Drosophila melanogaster: one gene and its partners. The protein of the gene in region 1 interacts with the protein of each later gene in a pairwise test. Each region holds a gene or a part of one and is shown in the gene's direction. Other genes may lie near its edges.

Evidence for each region.
Region 2: the proteins of CG6479 (region 1) and CG15212 interact in a two-hybrid assay, tested with the Drosophila melanogaster proteins (one large-scale study listed by BioGRID).
Region 3: the proteins of CG6479 (region 1) and CG11313 interact in a two-hybrid assay, tested with the Drosophila melanogaster proteins (one large-scale study listed by BioGRID).
Region 4: the proteins of CG6479 (region 1) and Elovl7 interact in a two-hybrid assay, tested with the Drosophila melanogaster proteins (one large-scale study listed by BioGRID).

The regions. Positions count from the first base shown.
Region 1 is NT_037436.4:17,336,637-17,340,972, reverse strand, and holds CG6479 (uncharacterized protein), read left to right. Parts: upstream 1-1,710; 5' UTR 1,711-1,793; coding exon 1,794-1,816; intron 1,817-1,836; exon of another isoform or gene 1,837-1,861; coding exon of another isoform or gene 1,862-1,872; coding exon 1,873-2,177; intron 2,178-2,236; coding exon 2,237-2,844; intron 2,845-2,900; coding exon 2,901-3,230; intron 3,231-3,289; coding exon 3,290-3,652; 3' UTR 3,653-3,801; downstream 3,802-4,336. Other genes in the region: CG13727 (uncharacterized protein), read left to right, coding at 1-50, 180-694.
Region 2 is NT_037436.4:5,129,922-5,132,685, forward strand, and holds CG15212 (uncharacterized protein), read left to right. Parts: upstream 1-1,623; 5' UTR 1,624-1,682; coding exon 1,683-1,700; intron 1,701-1,838; coding exon 1,839-2,012; 3' UTR 2,013-2,206; downstream 2,207-2,764. Other genes in the region: CG4597 (uncharacterized protein), read left to right, coding at 1-319.
Region 3 is NT_033777.3:30,729,334-30,732,858, reverse strand, and holds CG11313 (uncharacterized protein), read left to right. Parts: upstream 1-1,693; 5' UTR 1,694-1,712; coding exon 1,713-1,773; intron 1,774-1,827; coding exon 1,828-2,290; intron 2,291-2,343; coding exon 2,344-2,932; 3' UTR 2,933-3,022; downstream 3,023-3,525.
Region 4 is NT_033777.3:7,992,833-7,997,489, reverse strand, and holds the start of Elovl7 (ELOVL fatty acid elongase 7), read left to right. Parts: upstream 1-1,637; 5' UTR 1,638-2,067; coding exon 2,068-2,070; intron 2,071-4,657. UniProt on the Drosophila melanogaster protein: Catalyzes the first and rate-limiting reaction of the four reactions that constitute the long-chain fatty acids elongation cycle.

The DNA.
Region 1 (4,336 bases):
CTATGATAAGTGGAAACTAGGTGGGAATATACACGATCGAATAAGCGTGGGTGAGTTCAAAGATTACTCAATCTATATATTCTACAAAGATAAACTCAAACTTAAAATGATTAATATTTGAAATTGATGACTGTTGTTTATTGTAGATTTCATTAAAAATATATTTAATACTATTTAAGGGCATTATGGCAGCAGTGGAAGTGCTGGCAAAAGTTACGCCTATGACAGTCAACCTTATCAGTATGACTACGGACCATCCAACGGACATGGCTATGAGCCAGGACCTGCTCCTGGGCACACCTACTCCTCCAGCGGAGAGGCAGGGGTGCCATACCACGTTTATCGACCTCGACCCGAACATGGCCACTACCCGGGGCCAGCAGTGGATTACTCCTACAGCTCCTACCCCATCGACTCCCACGAGATAGTCTCCCACAAGGGATCGCCAGAGATCTCACCAAAGGCCTTGCTGGCCAAAAGCTTCCTGATTCCGCTGGCCAGTGCCACCGTTCTGGGCATCGCCGCCGCCCTGGTCAGTAATCCTCTCCTGCTGCAACTAGCTCCTGTTCCGGGGATCGGTGTGGGAGTGGGTGTCGGACCTACAGTCGTTGGCAAACGAAGAAGGAGAAGAAGGGCAGTGAAGCGGGCTTTACGATCAGGGAATACTGATGCAAAACTGAATAGCTCTATCTAAGTACCGTCCTCTCGAAAATGTATTAAATCAGGAAACAATATATAAGATATTATTTTTAATATATCATATAGTTACAAGCGTGTTTTTTATTTAAAGTCAGTGATGGCATTTAAATAATTTTAATAATTTAAATAATTTAAATTAAGGGTCTAATGCTACGAGAGCCTAATAATTAGTTGTCTATATGGAGAGAATAAGATAACGTAATTTTAAGTGACTTGTGGAACCTTTTGTAATGGCTATATGTAAGTTTTTTTTTTACATTAGATTGCGTAATTAGTCGACTGAGGTTCAAACCGGCTCGTTGGTCTAGAGGTATGATTCTCGCTTCGGGTGCGAGAGGTCCCGGGTTCAATTCCCGGACGAGCCCCAGTCATCCCAGTGCGCTAAGGAATGTATAATTTTTAAACAAAAAAGTTATATTTTATAAATATTTATTTTAAAATATTTTTAAGTTATTGAGAATACACATTTAGTTGCATGTGTACACAATTATATACAATTTACTTAGGGAATGAAATAAATTAAAAGTTATTTTATATCATTAAAAACAAACTAAATTAAATTAAATTAAGGAATTTTTTAGCGTCCTCATAAATGTTGCAAAATTGTTGAGTCTTCGGTTTTGTACGGCTTATGTCATAATATATTGAAGATAGAGAAAAAATTTGTTTAAAAAACAGCTAATTTTATAACTACTCTAAAAAATATTATAAAACACTGCATTTAAATGATAAATTAAAAGTTGCTGATAAGTAATACGTTTAGAGTGGGTGAATAGCTTTAAACATTCGGATAAACAAAAAATCATTTTAAAAATCATAAAAATAATTTTAGTTCTATTAAAAAATATGATATCATGGATATTGATCCATACCAAAGAAAACATCGCCGATAGGTGTGTGTCTTCGCTAGGGAAAGTGTCTCCGCTAAGGTATCTTGAGCCAACAAAGTACATAACGCGTTTCATTCCAAACGGTATTTATTTTTTGACCTTGTGGTATTCTAACTTTTTGTCTGTGCTATCACTTACAAACAAGTTTTCCCGGCATTTTCGACCTATTCAGGTGATTTTCTAATAATTATCACATAGTAGGCAATGAATTTTACACGGACTAATTGGTAAGTGACAGAAACTAGTGTAGAATTCAGAAAATTAACCCATGAATGCTCCTCAGCTCGCCGCTGAGTAAAAACCCAGTGGTGCAGCGCAGCCTGGACTTGCGATTGCAGGGCGCCCAAGCGCGGCATTACCTCAAGTGGTGCTCCATAAATGTGGTGCTGCTGTCGCTACTCCTCTTCGACCTCTGGCAGGCATGTCGGTCCGCCTACAGGACCTACTGGTTCCTGGCGGAGTGCACCATTACGACCCTGATTGGCCTAAGTGCACTCGCCTGCTTCGGCAAGTATTTGTGGTTATGGTTTGGTGGTGACCAAGTTACGGGTAGCGATATCCAAAAGTGGCTGCTTGATGGCAAGGCAGGTGAGGAATCCAAAGGAACCCGTTCTAACGCATCCACTTAACCACTTTTATTCCTATAGAGAACTCTTTTCGTACAGTTTGCTCCCGAGCCGTGATGAAACCACGCAGCTACGAACCGGATAGCGATATAGAGGACGACATACCCATCATCAACTGGCACTCCTCCTTCGAGGACTCCTGCTGGGGCTCGCAATCCATGCGCCGCAGCCCCAGTCCCACAAGGACGCCGCAGCAGACGAAACAAAACACCTCTTACAACTCCTCGATGGTTCGAAACAACTCGCTGAATGCCAGCAATCTGAGCAACGAGTCTACCTATATGTCCCCGTATGCGGAGGTGCGACGCGATGACTTCATGACCGATACACGAAAGTTGACCAGTCTAATGAAGCAGGCGGATCGGGAGCGCAGCATGATGGACAGCTCGGATACACCCAATGTGCAGAGCATGGGATCGGCCAACTCCTTCTGGAACTACTGCAACAATGCGGCCTATATGCTCAAGACCACCATCTATCAACTATCGCCACCTCCGGCTGTTTCTACGGAAAATGCTCCCACCTCGATTGAGGAGTTTGGCGGTATTCAGTTTAGGGACAGCAATTCGGAGGTCATCAAGCGCATATCCACGGACAAACTGTCGCAATATGTGGCCAACCTAAGATTTGTAAGCATCCCGTTCAATATTCCACTGCAACGTACTAATGTCTTACCATTTTCTAGTGGATTTCTACGACCATACTTCAGCGTTTGGTCAAAGAGATCAATTATGTGGACGATGTTTTCCGCCAGCGAGCTCTGATTGACATTAAAATTGGATCTGTGAGTGTAGAGAGATTACGCAAAACAGCCGAGAACCAGCAGTTCGTGCAGACGTGTGCGCCCATGTTGCCCATGCTCTTACCTTTCCTGGACACCTTCAGCAACCAGGAATACCTGGTGCAGCGCATCAAGGAGCTTGCGCAGGGCTCTTGCATAGCTGACTACCGCTGGTACTCGGGCAAAACACACAACGGTCAGCAGCGGGACGAGCATTTGCCCACCGATGCAGCTGTGAGTATACGAAATTCCGCAACTGAGCACTCTTGATTAATTGTAACCTCATTCTGCAGATAATATTCCATTTATTTTGCGTGTACTTGGATAGCCAGTTGATGCCGTTGCCGCAGGGCGGCGGACGACCCTTTCACTCCCGCTACGTGTTAATTCGCGACGAGAAGAGCTCGACCAAGGACGTGGTGAACGCAGTTCACAACAAGGCCCACTGCGCCATTTTAAGTACCGGCAACCCACTTAACCCTAAATTTAACTTTATCAGCGACAAAGAACTACACAACTGCGTCTACGATAGGAATAACCTGTTCTACGTTATCATACAGTTCCTAATTTATATGCGACAGCACCAGGACTCTGCTCTGGAGTGCGTAAATCTTGGCAAAAGTGGTATCAACATCATGTGCGTCATCGAAGACTGAACAGTGGAACTAGTGGCTATGACTTTTAATCCCACCCCTAATCACTCCTTACTTCTAAGCATGATCCTTTGTGACTCGACTAGCGTTTGGTGACTGGACAATCCTCATCATTCGTTACTATGAAATTATACATTTGTAATTATTAAGCCAACTTACGACTGTTGTGGTTTCGCGGTTATCAAGTGTCGTGTGGCCTGCGGTCTGTGCAATTAACTTGTTTGGCAGTCGGCGGTAAGCTATATTCGCGGATATGTGCACACAGGTGCCCGACTTTAATTGCCCTTTCATGATTCTCACTATTGACCAGCCAGTTGGTGACCTGGCCATTGGCTCGGCCAGCGACATGCTCCCACATGCTCGCCACTTTGCACTTCCGAAAGTGACAAAATTAATGGTTTCCGCCGACGCTGTCGACATTTTGTCGAGTGAGAGACATTGAGAAAATGCTCCAAAGTAGTGCAAAATGAAGGAGTCGCAAACGGAGACCCCTAAAGCAGGCGCCAGGACGAGCAGGACCTGGGCCCTCTCGACCAGTCACATTACCATTTCTCTTGGCCATGCTCATTTCTGGGCTCTGGCTTGACGTTGAATCGGTTGGCTGGTTATTTTAATGCCGCCCATACTCCCGGATGCCCGGATGGCTGGATGGCTGGCACCTCGGGTGAGTAATGTGCCTGGGTTGTC
Region 2 (2,764 bases), about 12 Mb from region 1:
CTCATGTCCTTTGGTTCCAGGCTTCTATTTTGTTGAGAATGGCGTTATTGATTCCAAACTGGTTCCTTTCCGCATTCCCGATGGCAGATACATGGTACTTTTTGAGCTGATACAAGTCTACGAGGAAGTTATGAAGCTGATTTCATGCAGAATCAAGTTTTCCATTAAGACACCACCTGGATACACGGAACCATCGCTGTTTAAAAATAGCGAGGAAAATAAAGCGACTGAGAAGCCAGTAGAGAAAACCGAAGAAGCAAGTACAGAGGTTACTCAGTCGAAAGAGGATAGTTCGGAAGTATCAAACGATTACGAATAATGTAATTTTTGTAACTTAAATTTTTTCAAATATATTATACATGGAGCCTCTCCCTTTTTTGCTAAATTTTTTCACCCAAAAAAACAATTTTTACACATTTTCTGCAAAATAGTACCATCTATCACCGAGTTTCGGGTGCGTAATAAAATTTATTATCTCCCACTAAAAATTCGCCGGGATTGAGACATATCGCACATGTTACAGCCACGCCCATAAATGTTAATTAAAAAACCCAGGGGCATGGGAAATATATCAAACATGAATTTAAACCGCGCGAGACAAGCCGACGACAAAGACTAACTCAAAGATATCCATTCAATCCAATCTTTTAATTTGTTGTCATGGTAAACTTTGTTTGTGATATCCATTCGACACGTATTTGTTTTTGTGGAGTACAAACTGTGGAATGTTTTTTTGAGCTGCGTTGACATTGTGGCGGCATTCTCGAAAGTTCGTTATTTACATATTTAGAGCAGGGCGAATGTTTCCGGTTTTCAGCTGCAAGATCGTCGTCAGCATCATCAATACTTGCACGATGACTGGGCAAAAAAAACACTTGGCCTCCGTACCAATCATATGTTGGTTTTTATACCATCGCCCAGCCCAAAATGGTTCCGTCGTTTAGCTTAACTTTTATTGATTTAGTATTCCACTCTACAGGCCTGACAGCTGTTCAAAGTGTCAAATATTTATGGATCCTCTGCTCAAGTGATAATTTATATTTTAATTGGCTTGACCACTGATCATTCGATCATTGGATCTTGAACTTCAGATTAACTTACCATTTGAATTGGGTGATCGAGGGGCTCTAGATACACTGAATTAGCAATTAAACTGCCTGGCATTACAATTTCCGCCTTCTTCCGGGTTTTGTTTAAATATTACTCCGCTGACCGCATTTGAGGTGACCTTCATTTGTCGATGTCTTCATTTACCCAGTCTGATTATTATTTAATCAACGATCAACTTCTTCAGTGGCTTAGCGAAGCAAACAAAAGATGCCACCACCAAGTAAACAGGGCAGCCTGGTTTTGCTGCTCGGTCCCGCTGCCGAAAAAATTGGCCCGAAAAAAAAAAAAAACAAAGCACCTGCCTCAACATGCCACGCCCCTTGAATCGTCTGCTTTTGGCCAGGTTTTTCTGTTTATACTTCTTTTTCGCTTACCGTCTTATTTATGCGAGACTCTTTTGTTTATGTATCGTTCATTTGTCCTCTTCTTCATTGCAAACTGCAGTTTACACATGACATTATCATCGATGGTCACCCAAAAGTTTGGCTATAAAAAGGCCTGATGCCAGATGGAGCCATGTGCAGTCGATATTTGGATTAATCAGCGTAATCATCTCCCCAGCAGCAGCAATCATGAAGTACCTAGCTCTGGTGAGTATTTGGATATAACATTTGGATTAATAATTGGATTAAATGATTTCCAATTAAGTGCAACATATGAAGTTGTTTGTTGAAGTATATTAAATTTTCAATTTGTACTAAAAATCTATTGTAATTCACATTTTTCAGACCATTTTCGTGTGCCTTATGGCCATCGCCCTCATTTCTGCCGTGCCCGTGGATGAGTCCCTGATCGGCGATAATATCTACCAGCCTGCCTTCGACGATGTCCAGCGTCCCCAGGATCCGCAGGCCATCTTCAAGCTGAAGAAGCTGCTCAAGTTGAAGAAGCTCCTGGGTTAGGAGAAATTCGCAATAAGCTTCGTTCAGATTCTAGTCCAGCCAATTGGGAACCTTGCCTCCCCCACTACATTCGATTTTCAAACCGTTTTGTTTAGACAATACCCAATAAGCACAAACACACAAACACACACAAAAGCACATACATACGAGTAAAGTATACGTAATCGTAACTAAAATAAATGTTATTTTCATACACGTCGGCTTTTCTTATATCATCGAAGCGTCGGGGATGAGATCTCCATGTGTGTCCAAAAAGGAGCTAATGACTGGCAGCGGGTCGGGTTTTTGTTTGCCTAGATCTGAATAAGAAACCCGTTTCGGATCGTTTCTGGGTAGAGAGTGTGAAAAGCGAACGGAATCTTCCTTACATGCGTATAAATATTGGCCAATCTCAGTCGTAAATGAATCAAGTGGGTTCAATGATGTGCTAATACAAGGAGCCCACTGTGAGATTAATGATCATACCTACTTTCATTAATTGGCATGATTAGTTAACTTGATATGCCAGTAATATTATAGCTTAACTAAATATAATATATTAAATATTTTCAAGTATCAAAATTATGTAAAAAGTAACGATAACTCATCACATATTGACATATTGAGAGCTGGTCACGAAAAATCGGACATGATTGCCATCAAGTTGAAGCACATGGTTCCAGCCTTTCAACTTACCATAAATTTTAACATTCAGGTGTATTAGTAGTATTAGGAATGATTTTAATGTGATCGTAAAAAAAGAAAATTATTTG
Region 3 (3,525 bases), on another chromosome or scaffold:
TTTGCTACATTAGCGGAGGTCGGGGTGGCGACTTAAATGCATGCATTTAGCCATCTGGCTGCATTTCGTACAAGAGTACAAGAGTGTTAATTGAGACTTCTTTTTATTGGCGTTCCGGAGTGGGTACTCATGCGGAATGGTCAGGACACACAGATATTTCCCATATCCGAGTTCAAAAGCAAGGCTCTGCATGCAAATCCCGAGCGAAAGGATACGTTACAGGATTCGGGCAGCTGCTACTTGGCGCTGTGGAACGCCCACGTGCCGTAGAAATGCCAGGAATGCCGTCCCGGAATTTCCAATCAATTTTAATTGGCACCCCATCGATGGAGGACAGCGAGAAGAAATCCAAAATATTTGTGCATAATTTTAAATAGAACATTTTTCTATTTGCGCAATTTATCTTGTGAGTTCGTTTTGGTGGGACACTTTACTTAGGAACCGGTGGCAGACGTTCAATGGGTGTCAGAACCAGTGCAATAAATTATTTTAAACGAGCATATCGAAGATGTGTCGCCCTCTAAAATTCAACTCACACATGTGCCGTTGGGTATTCGAAATATTTTTATGGCTAGATCCCTGGCCGGGCAGTAGGTATCGTCATAGGGATTTATGTGCAATCGGGGGGCTCGGAAATAGGAGATAAATCTGCTGCCCACTCAAGCGGCCAGCCAATCAAAGTTGCAGCCACTTGAATGCTCGCAGCGGGACACACTGTCTCTCTCTCTGCTCTCGGAAAACTCATTTAAGTTTTCCTCGGCCAGAGAGATAGGTGAAAAGGATAAGGTCGACTCCAAGGGATTGGCCAACTTTGGTCCGGCTTAATTGCCCAGTGTCCTTGCAGCGAAAGGGGAGGCTTAATTGCCTCAGCCTCTGATTGCGACTCCGATTCTGCCGTTTGACTCCAGTGCTTAATTGCCATTTAGTCCTTTTTAATGGACTCCACTGTACGGGGACACTGGCCCATGTTCATTAATGACCAACACGGCTAGATTTCCGCTCACCTCCTTTCGTAACTTTTGCGAGACCCTGTCGATACCAGATAGACTTGCAAATGCCAGCATTTTAATGGCAGCATTTTTGACTTATCTGTCCATCTGGGCATCCTGCATGTCCTGTGTGTCCTTCGTGCCCCTTTGCCCCAAAGGGGCTCTCAGTCCGTTTGTGTTGCATAAATTTGTCCAAATTGTTTTGCTACCGTCCGATAAGACGCCGTCGATGGCATGACAATTAGCCCGAAACTACATTTAAAATATTACTTGTGGTCCACCGAGTCTGTGGTCCTGTATCCTTTACCCTCGTCCTTTGCCGGCATTAATTGTTTCTTGGGATCGGCTGTCGAAAGTGCAAACACAATCGGATTGCTGATATCCCGACTATTGACTATTCGTCGAGAATGGCAAGTGGTTTATTTCGGGACATATGTATACATATTGATTTCAGAGCTATATTCAAGCAATTTTTAATTGCCAATGTGCAATGTTATCTTGTATAGCTTTTTTATTCATTCGAGCCATTTATTATAATGGTTTCCAACGGACAAATCTATGTTTTTTCCCTCGCTTAATCTCTAATCTTTGACTTGCTGACAAGATAAGAGAAATAATCGCACTGAAGCTAAAATCAATTCTATTTAAAATTAAGAAAGACTGCCAAATTGTGATCATTAAACAGATCGTAGTCGAGGCTTACGGAATTCAGTCGCAAGCGCAATGAAGGTGATCGCAGCCGTTTTGCTGTGCTTATTGATTATCCGCACGGCCCATGGACAGTGTAAGTGCACAAAGCGGAAATTAGTACCCAAATAGGAAACCAGATCACTTACAGACGTGAGTTGCCGGAATCCCAACCAGCGGACTGGATATTGCGTGAACATCCCCTTGTGTGTGCCACTGAATTCCGTGCTGGCGAAGAGTAATCCTACAGACTCCGAGATGCGGTTCATCCGAGAATCCCGTTGCCTCGTATCTGACCAGAGCGATCTGCCATTCGTCTGCTGCACTCCGGATACGGACTACAACACGACGCGTGCTAGACCTAACGACGAAGTGATACATTCCACTTTGCTTCCCGATCGGTCCATCTGTGGGGGCGATATAGCGTACAACCAGATCACGAAAGGCAACGAAACCGTTCTCACTGAATTCGCCTGGATGGTGCTGTTAGAGTACCGTCCTCATGATGGACAACAATTGAGAACATACTGCGCGGGATCACTGATCAATAATCGATATGTTGTAACAGCGGCTCACTGCGTGTCGGCTGCTACTAGGGCCCGCAAAGGAGATGTGTAAACGGCCTTATACTTGTTGCTATGGTTTTTTTTTTATTATTAACACTTAGCTCTTTCAGAGTCTCTGTGAGATTGGGCGAGCATAACACCAGTGCCGTGGTGGATTGCCTCAATGGAAGGTGCCTACCGGAACCTGTGCAAATCGCGGTCGAGGAGATCCGCATACATGAAAGCTTCGGTACCCGATTGTTTTGGAACGACATTGCTCTGATCCGTTTGGCGAGAGAGGTTGCCTATTCGCCCAGCATTCGACCTGTTTGCTTGCCCTCGACTGTGGGTCTGCAAAACTGGCAATCCGGCCAGGCGTTTACCGTGGCAGGATGGGGTAGAACCCTTACCAGCGAAAGCAGTCCCGTCAAGATGAAATTGAGGGTAACGTACGTGGAGCCTGGCCTGTGTCGTCGCAAGTATGCTAGCATAGTGGTCCTGGGTGACTCCCACTTGTGCGCCGAAGGTAGAAGTCGGGGTGATAGCTGCGATGGGGACTCCGGCGGACCACTGATGGCATTCCACGAGGGCGTTTGGGTCCTTGGGGGCATTGTGTCCTTTGGCCTGAACTGCGGCTCACGATTCTGGCCAGCTGTCTACACAAATGTTCTTTCTTACGAAACGTGGATCACGCAGAATATACGACCTTAAGTTTATGCTCTCTCCATACACAAGCATAAATAGATTTTAATAAGGAAAGGTAGTTGTGAACTCACCTTATCAATAAATGTGTTTCTGAATATTTCTGATTCATACCACCAATGCCGATTAATCAAGCATTTGATATATTACACCTTCTGAATGGGTCTTCTTGAATGCCCAGCACTGAGTTCAACATTATCCCACCTCCCCCTTGGCTCATTTCAACCTGCCACTTGAGGCAGCTTCTGCCCATGGTGCACTTACATTTAATGAAAAAAGGAGCATTATTATTAAATTATACCCAAGAAAAAGTCCCTTCTCTCACCCCTTCGTTGGCATTCGAGAGCATGACATAAACATAAACTTTGCGCCTTTTGTGTGAGAGCGAGTCCTGCGGGTGCTCCTTGTATGTATATGTATATACTTATCCTGATCCTGGCCGGCGGCTAGCAGCAACAACAAGAATGGCAACAAACACCTTTAATATTTTCATTATGAAGTCATTCAGCGCGATTATTAACGCGTGACCCCCAAGGCGATGCACAGCATCCAGAACGAACGGTCAAAAGCGGACAAAAGTTCAGGTCCACCCTAATGGACAA
Region 4 (4,657 bases), on another chromosome or scaffold:
AAATGCTCAAGGTTGAATCTCTGGGTATAAAGTGCTTATTTATTTTGATTTTTTGTTCACATAAATTTTACAACTAGGCGTGGCTTGCCGGCACCTAAAACTTGTGTTACAATATATTGTCGTGCGCGGCATTAGTTAAAGGACTAGTGAAGTGCATTCTAACTGGGAAAAACATATCCATGTCTGGTGAGTACAGTCGCAGTCTAAATTCTGATGATCAAATGGAAAATTTCAGAGCAAGCGGAAATATTACCTGCCATCTCTGTCCATATAAGGAGGATCATTCTGATCTAGCATGGTCAATTCATCGTGAGCTTTTCCTCTAGTCATACAGCCACTAGAAAGCCCTTGAATCGATCGTATTCATACTTCCCCCAATATGGCAGACGCGTGTTTCGGATCTGTGAGATGGGATCAGCTTAGGGCGACATGTCTATACATATTCATCGTCTCCCCCGCCGACTGTTTGCACATGTAAATTTGGCGCGGCTAGATTACATGGTCAGTTACGTGTTATTCGGTTAGAATTCCGCAAAAAGATCTTGTGCTCGGCGGCCATGCAGCGGACTTTGAGACGAAAAATGCAAATGTTTGCTTTGTTGCATTGCTTGGGTTTTTTGTCGAAAAACGCATCAAAAGTGCAGGGTAATGGTGAGATTTTTAGCAGGTAAATTAGAATAAAGGTAGTTGAAGGGTCGTTAATTGAGGGTAAGTAAATCGTCAACCAAGCCGCTGTCAAAGTTCGATCTAATTGCTTAGCTCACAAAAATCGACTACGTAACGTTTCAAGCTTGCACAAATAACAAGTAAGCGTCGGGTCCTCCGAAATATTAAGTATCCGCCAGGTTGCCTGCAACATCCAGGTCTCGGTAGCCGCTTTTCCCATTCGGGAATTTGTATGTTTCAGAAGTTCACGGCGCATTTTGGCCATTTATTGGCCATCACGAAGGCAAACGGAGGAAAGCCAAGTATTGGTCATTATAAATATTTAAGAGCCCAAGAGGCAAACTGGTTTGGTCAGCCCCATCTTCTTCTGCTTTTTACCGCATACGTATCCAAAGATTGGGCTTTGTTGCTGGCAACCTTTCCGCCGCTCTCCCTCGCCGTGATTTGATTTGATTTGATTTGATTTGTGGCTACGTTAATTTTTGCACACTTTTCCGATATGAAGGGCCGGGCCTGGGCAGGGGTTAATTAACGGACATTCTTGCCGAACTTTGAACTGTGCAATCATGCGCGCTGCCAAGACGCGGCAAAAGTACCGCTCCGATATTTGGATTGGCGGCAATTAGCGCCGCACTTGGGTGTGGGTGCAAAGGCGGGTGATACCCCCACTGGTGGATACCAAGAATTCGATTCCAAAGGGCCGCTGGCCGATCTCGCTCTCGCTCTGGCATCCTGACGCCCGACCCGATCGCTTCGGCTGTCAGAGCGAGAGCACACATCGACAACCTGTTGCTCAGAACCTGTGGCTAGCGACCGAAGCTTTCGACTTCGGCTCACCTCAACGCCAGCGCCATCGCCACGCTCGCCGAAAATGAGCGGTCGGCGGCGCCGACGATCTGCGTCGACGTCTGCGCCAAGTCCGCTCCTACGACTGCGAGGCGGTATAAAAGTAAAGCGGCAGCGTGAAATCAAACTTATTTCAGTGTTTTTGATTTGAATGTAAAAAGCGCACGCTCGCCCAGTCGCTGTCCAGTTGTTGTCCAGTAAAGTCCAGCGGAGCAGCAGCAGCGGCAGATCGGTCGCATCAGCAGTAGCATCAGCAGCAGTTCCCCGCAACAGTGATGTAGAAACCATAAAACCGTATAACGATGGTCAAACAGTGTGTGCGTGTGTAAAACAATAACTAAAAACCTACAAGCAAGAAAAACGAAAAAAAAAAACGAAACGAAACGAACAAGGATAGTGCGCTAAAAAGTGATAATTCGTATACCAAAGTCGAGAGAATCTCTGTAAATTAGTCAAAAAAAAAAAAAAGAAAAAATAAATAAATACAGTACGCTTCCTTGTAACAAACGGAATATAAACGCGCATTTAGTACCTGTTGAAGCGAATTTTAGCACAATGGTAAGTAGCGGGGGTTCCCGACCGAACACCCAGTGTGACTCAACGGAAAATTGATGCCACTGAAACCTCCTTTATTAAAATGCCTTTGCAACCAGTAATTTCGATGCCGACCCCCAACATGCAAGCCTGAATAAATAAATATACATGATCGTACGTTGACTTGGGCTTTCCGTTAAATCCCACAACCCACAAATGACCCTTTGCACACGACTCGTGTGTGCTGCTGCTGCTATTAAGCAAGAAATTAATAATAAAAAAAAAAATAAATAAAGCTCCTATAATGAATATCCGCAATGCAGCCGTTAAAATTAATTGAGCAAATTATTAATCGAGAAAACCTCTCGAGCACCAGCCATTCCTGGTTCTTATTCGTTTTCTTTGGAAATGGAAAAAAACCGCACGCCAGCAACTGGTTTTCGTTTTCAAGTACACATTCGCTAGCAAGGTTTTCCACTGTTTTTTCCCAAATGCATTTTTGCCGACTCCGCGCAGACCTTTCCACGCTTTTCGCCCACTTTTCCCCCGCTTTCTGCCACAAAACATGAGCGTTTTGCTCTGTTCTGTTTTGCTAGAGCCATTCGCTTTCGAGCTCCGCCAAAAGTGCATACAGAAACTGCAAGTGCTGCACTTATTTCGAAGCTGTCGCTGTGTTATGTCCGCAGTTGCAGCAGCAGCACTTACACCAGCAACATCACTGGCTGGCGGTCAAGTGAAGTGAAGGCTGGCTTTTGGCTTTGACCAGCTCACTAGCCCACCAGCTCACCAGCTCACCAGCTCACCAGCTCACCAGCTCACTGGCATGACAACATTTCACACGGAAATGCAGTGCATCGCTGACCTTGAATCTCGGCCGGGGATATGGGATAACTGGCGATCGGAGCGCAGGTGAAATGATAGCCAGTCAGGGCCAGGCCGACTCATTTGTCCCGTCCACCTTACTTATGCTTTCGGCCCATCATTGCAGATGCTGCTGCTGTGTAGAAATCCAGTGATTTTCATATTCATTCAGCAGCTCTGCAAATTCGAGAGAAAAAACCCCAGTGGGTTAACCAATCGCCGCCGCTACTACCGCTGGCTAATGATCACTGGCATTGCACCATTTCACAAAAAAAAAAAAAAAAGAAAAAAAAAAATAAGCAGGCAACCCAGAAATCGAAACTTATTCAAATCTTCGAGTTGTTTTCTTCTCCTTTTGGCCTCTTACACAATGATTATTACACCTCGATTTTATTTTCGACTGGGACTTTTGCCGCATTTTTGTGTTGCCTCTTTTGACACTGAAAAGTGCAAAGGCGCTGGCGGCGAATTTTACTAGTTGCCAGTTGGCTATGGGCGGCTATGGGCTATCGGGTCTGGGTTGTTTGAGGCTGCTTGTTGGAGCCAGAGCCACTGCCACCCAGCTGCCAAACTGCGCAGCCCCCGCCAAGTGATCATAATAAAAAAAAATGTGCCTTAATCAGCCGATTTGCTTGCATTCCCTGTGGGCCAGTTAGCTACATTGGAGAGCCAGTCTCAGACGCATTGACGTCGCTTTATTGTTGACTGCCGCTCGGCACTCAGCTGTTTTTTGGTAAGAGAATCATGTAGAGAGCATATAGTAAACACAAAACCATAGGCAGAGTGCCCTCTTAGTACTTAGTGTGTGTGTGTGTGTGTGTGTGTGTGTGTGTGAGATAACGCTTGCCGCATGTGACTGAAATCGCAGTGCATTCGCTGCTCCATTTCGATTTGTTTGGCTCCACACGGCGTATGCGCGATTTTCTCAGTAGCTAGCTAGTCTTCGTTCACTTCAATTGCGAATATGCCATTTGGGCAAAGGTTTATTGTTCTACATAAAAAAAGTGCGTGTCTCTCAGCAATTTTTTTACTGGCTGTGTATATTCCCGAGCAAATTAACACTTAAAAACTGATAACGCAAGCGAAGAGAGGAATTCGAGGTAGATAAACGTAAAGAGACCATTAAACGGAGAGTACCTGAAAATGATTACATTTATGGACTCTTATCGGCCCGTGATTGAAGTAAGTGTCATTTGAAATTCAATTATTGCTCGTTGGAGATTAGACAGAAAAGTTATGCCAGTAAAGGTGTTAAAAACACTAAAAATAACAGCTTTTAAATTATTATTCAAACACGCTGGCTTGCATATTTTACAGCTCTTTGAGTGCCTTTTTTTTTTTGCAATTTTATACAAACTCTTCGTTCCCGAAAAAACAATTAATTTATACATATTTGTCGCTTTAAACTGGGTCGGTTGGATGAATTTATTTGTATAAATTAAATTATTTAGTGGGCCATGCTGTCATACCGAATTCGTGATTAAACATATTTCCATTAGTGCGAATTTAGATGGGACTTAGGTGCTAAAGTTGTTCGATTTTGTTTTTAAGTATTTTAAAAATGTTTAATAATATTTTCTAAATAATTTCCTTGTCGTACAACAATAAATTACAAATAAATTCCATTTTAAAGCAACGAACGCATTTGCAGTAATATATTTTCGACACATTTAATCCGAACACAAAATAATTAAATCAACATCAACATTGTGGGGCTAAAGCAAAATTTAAATTAGTGGACAGAAACAAC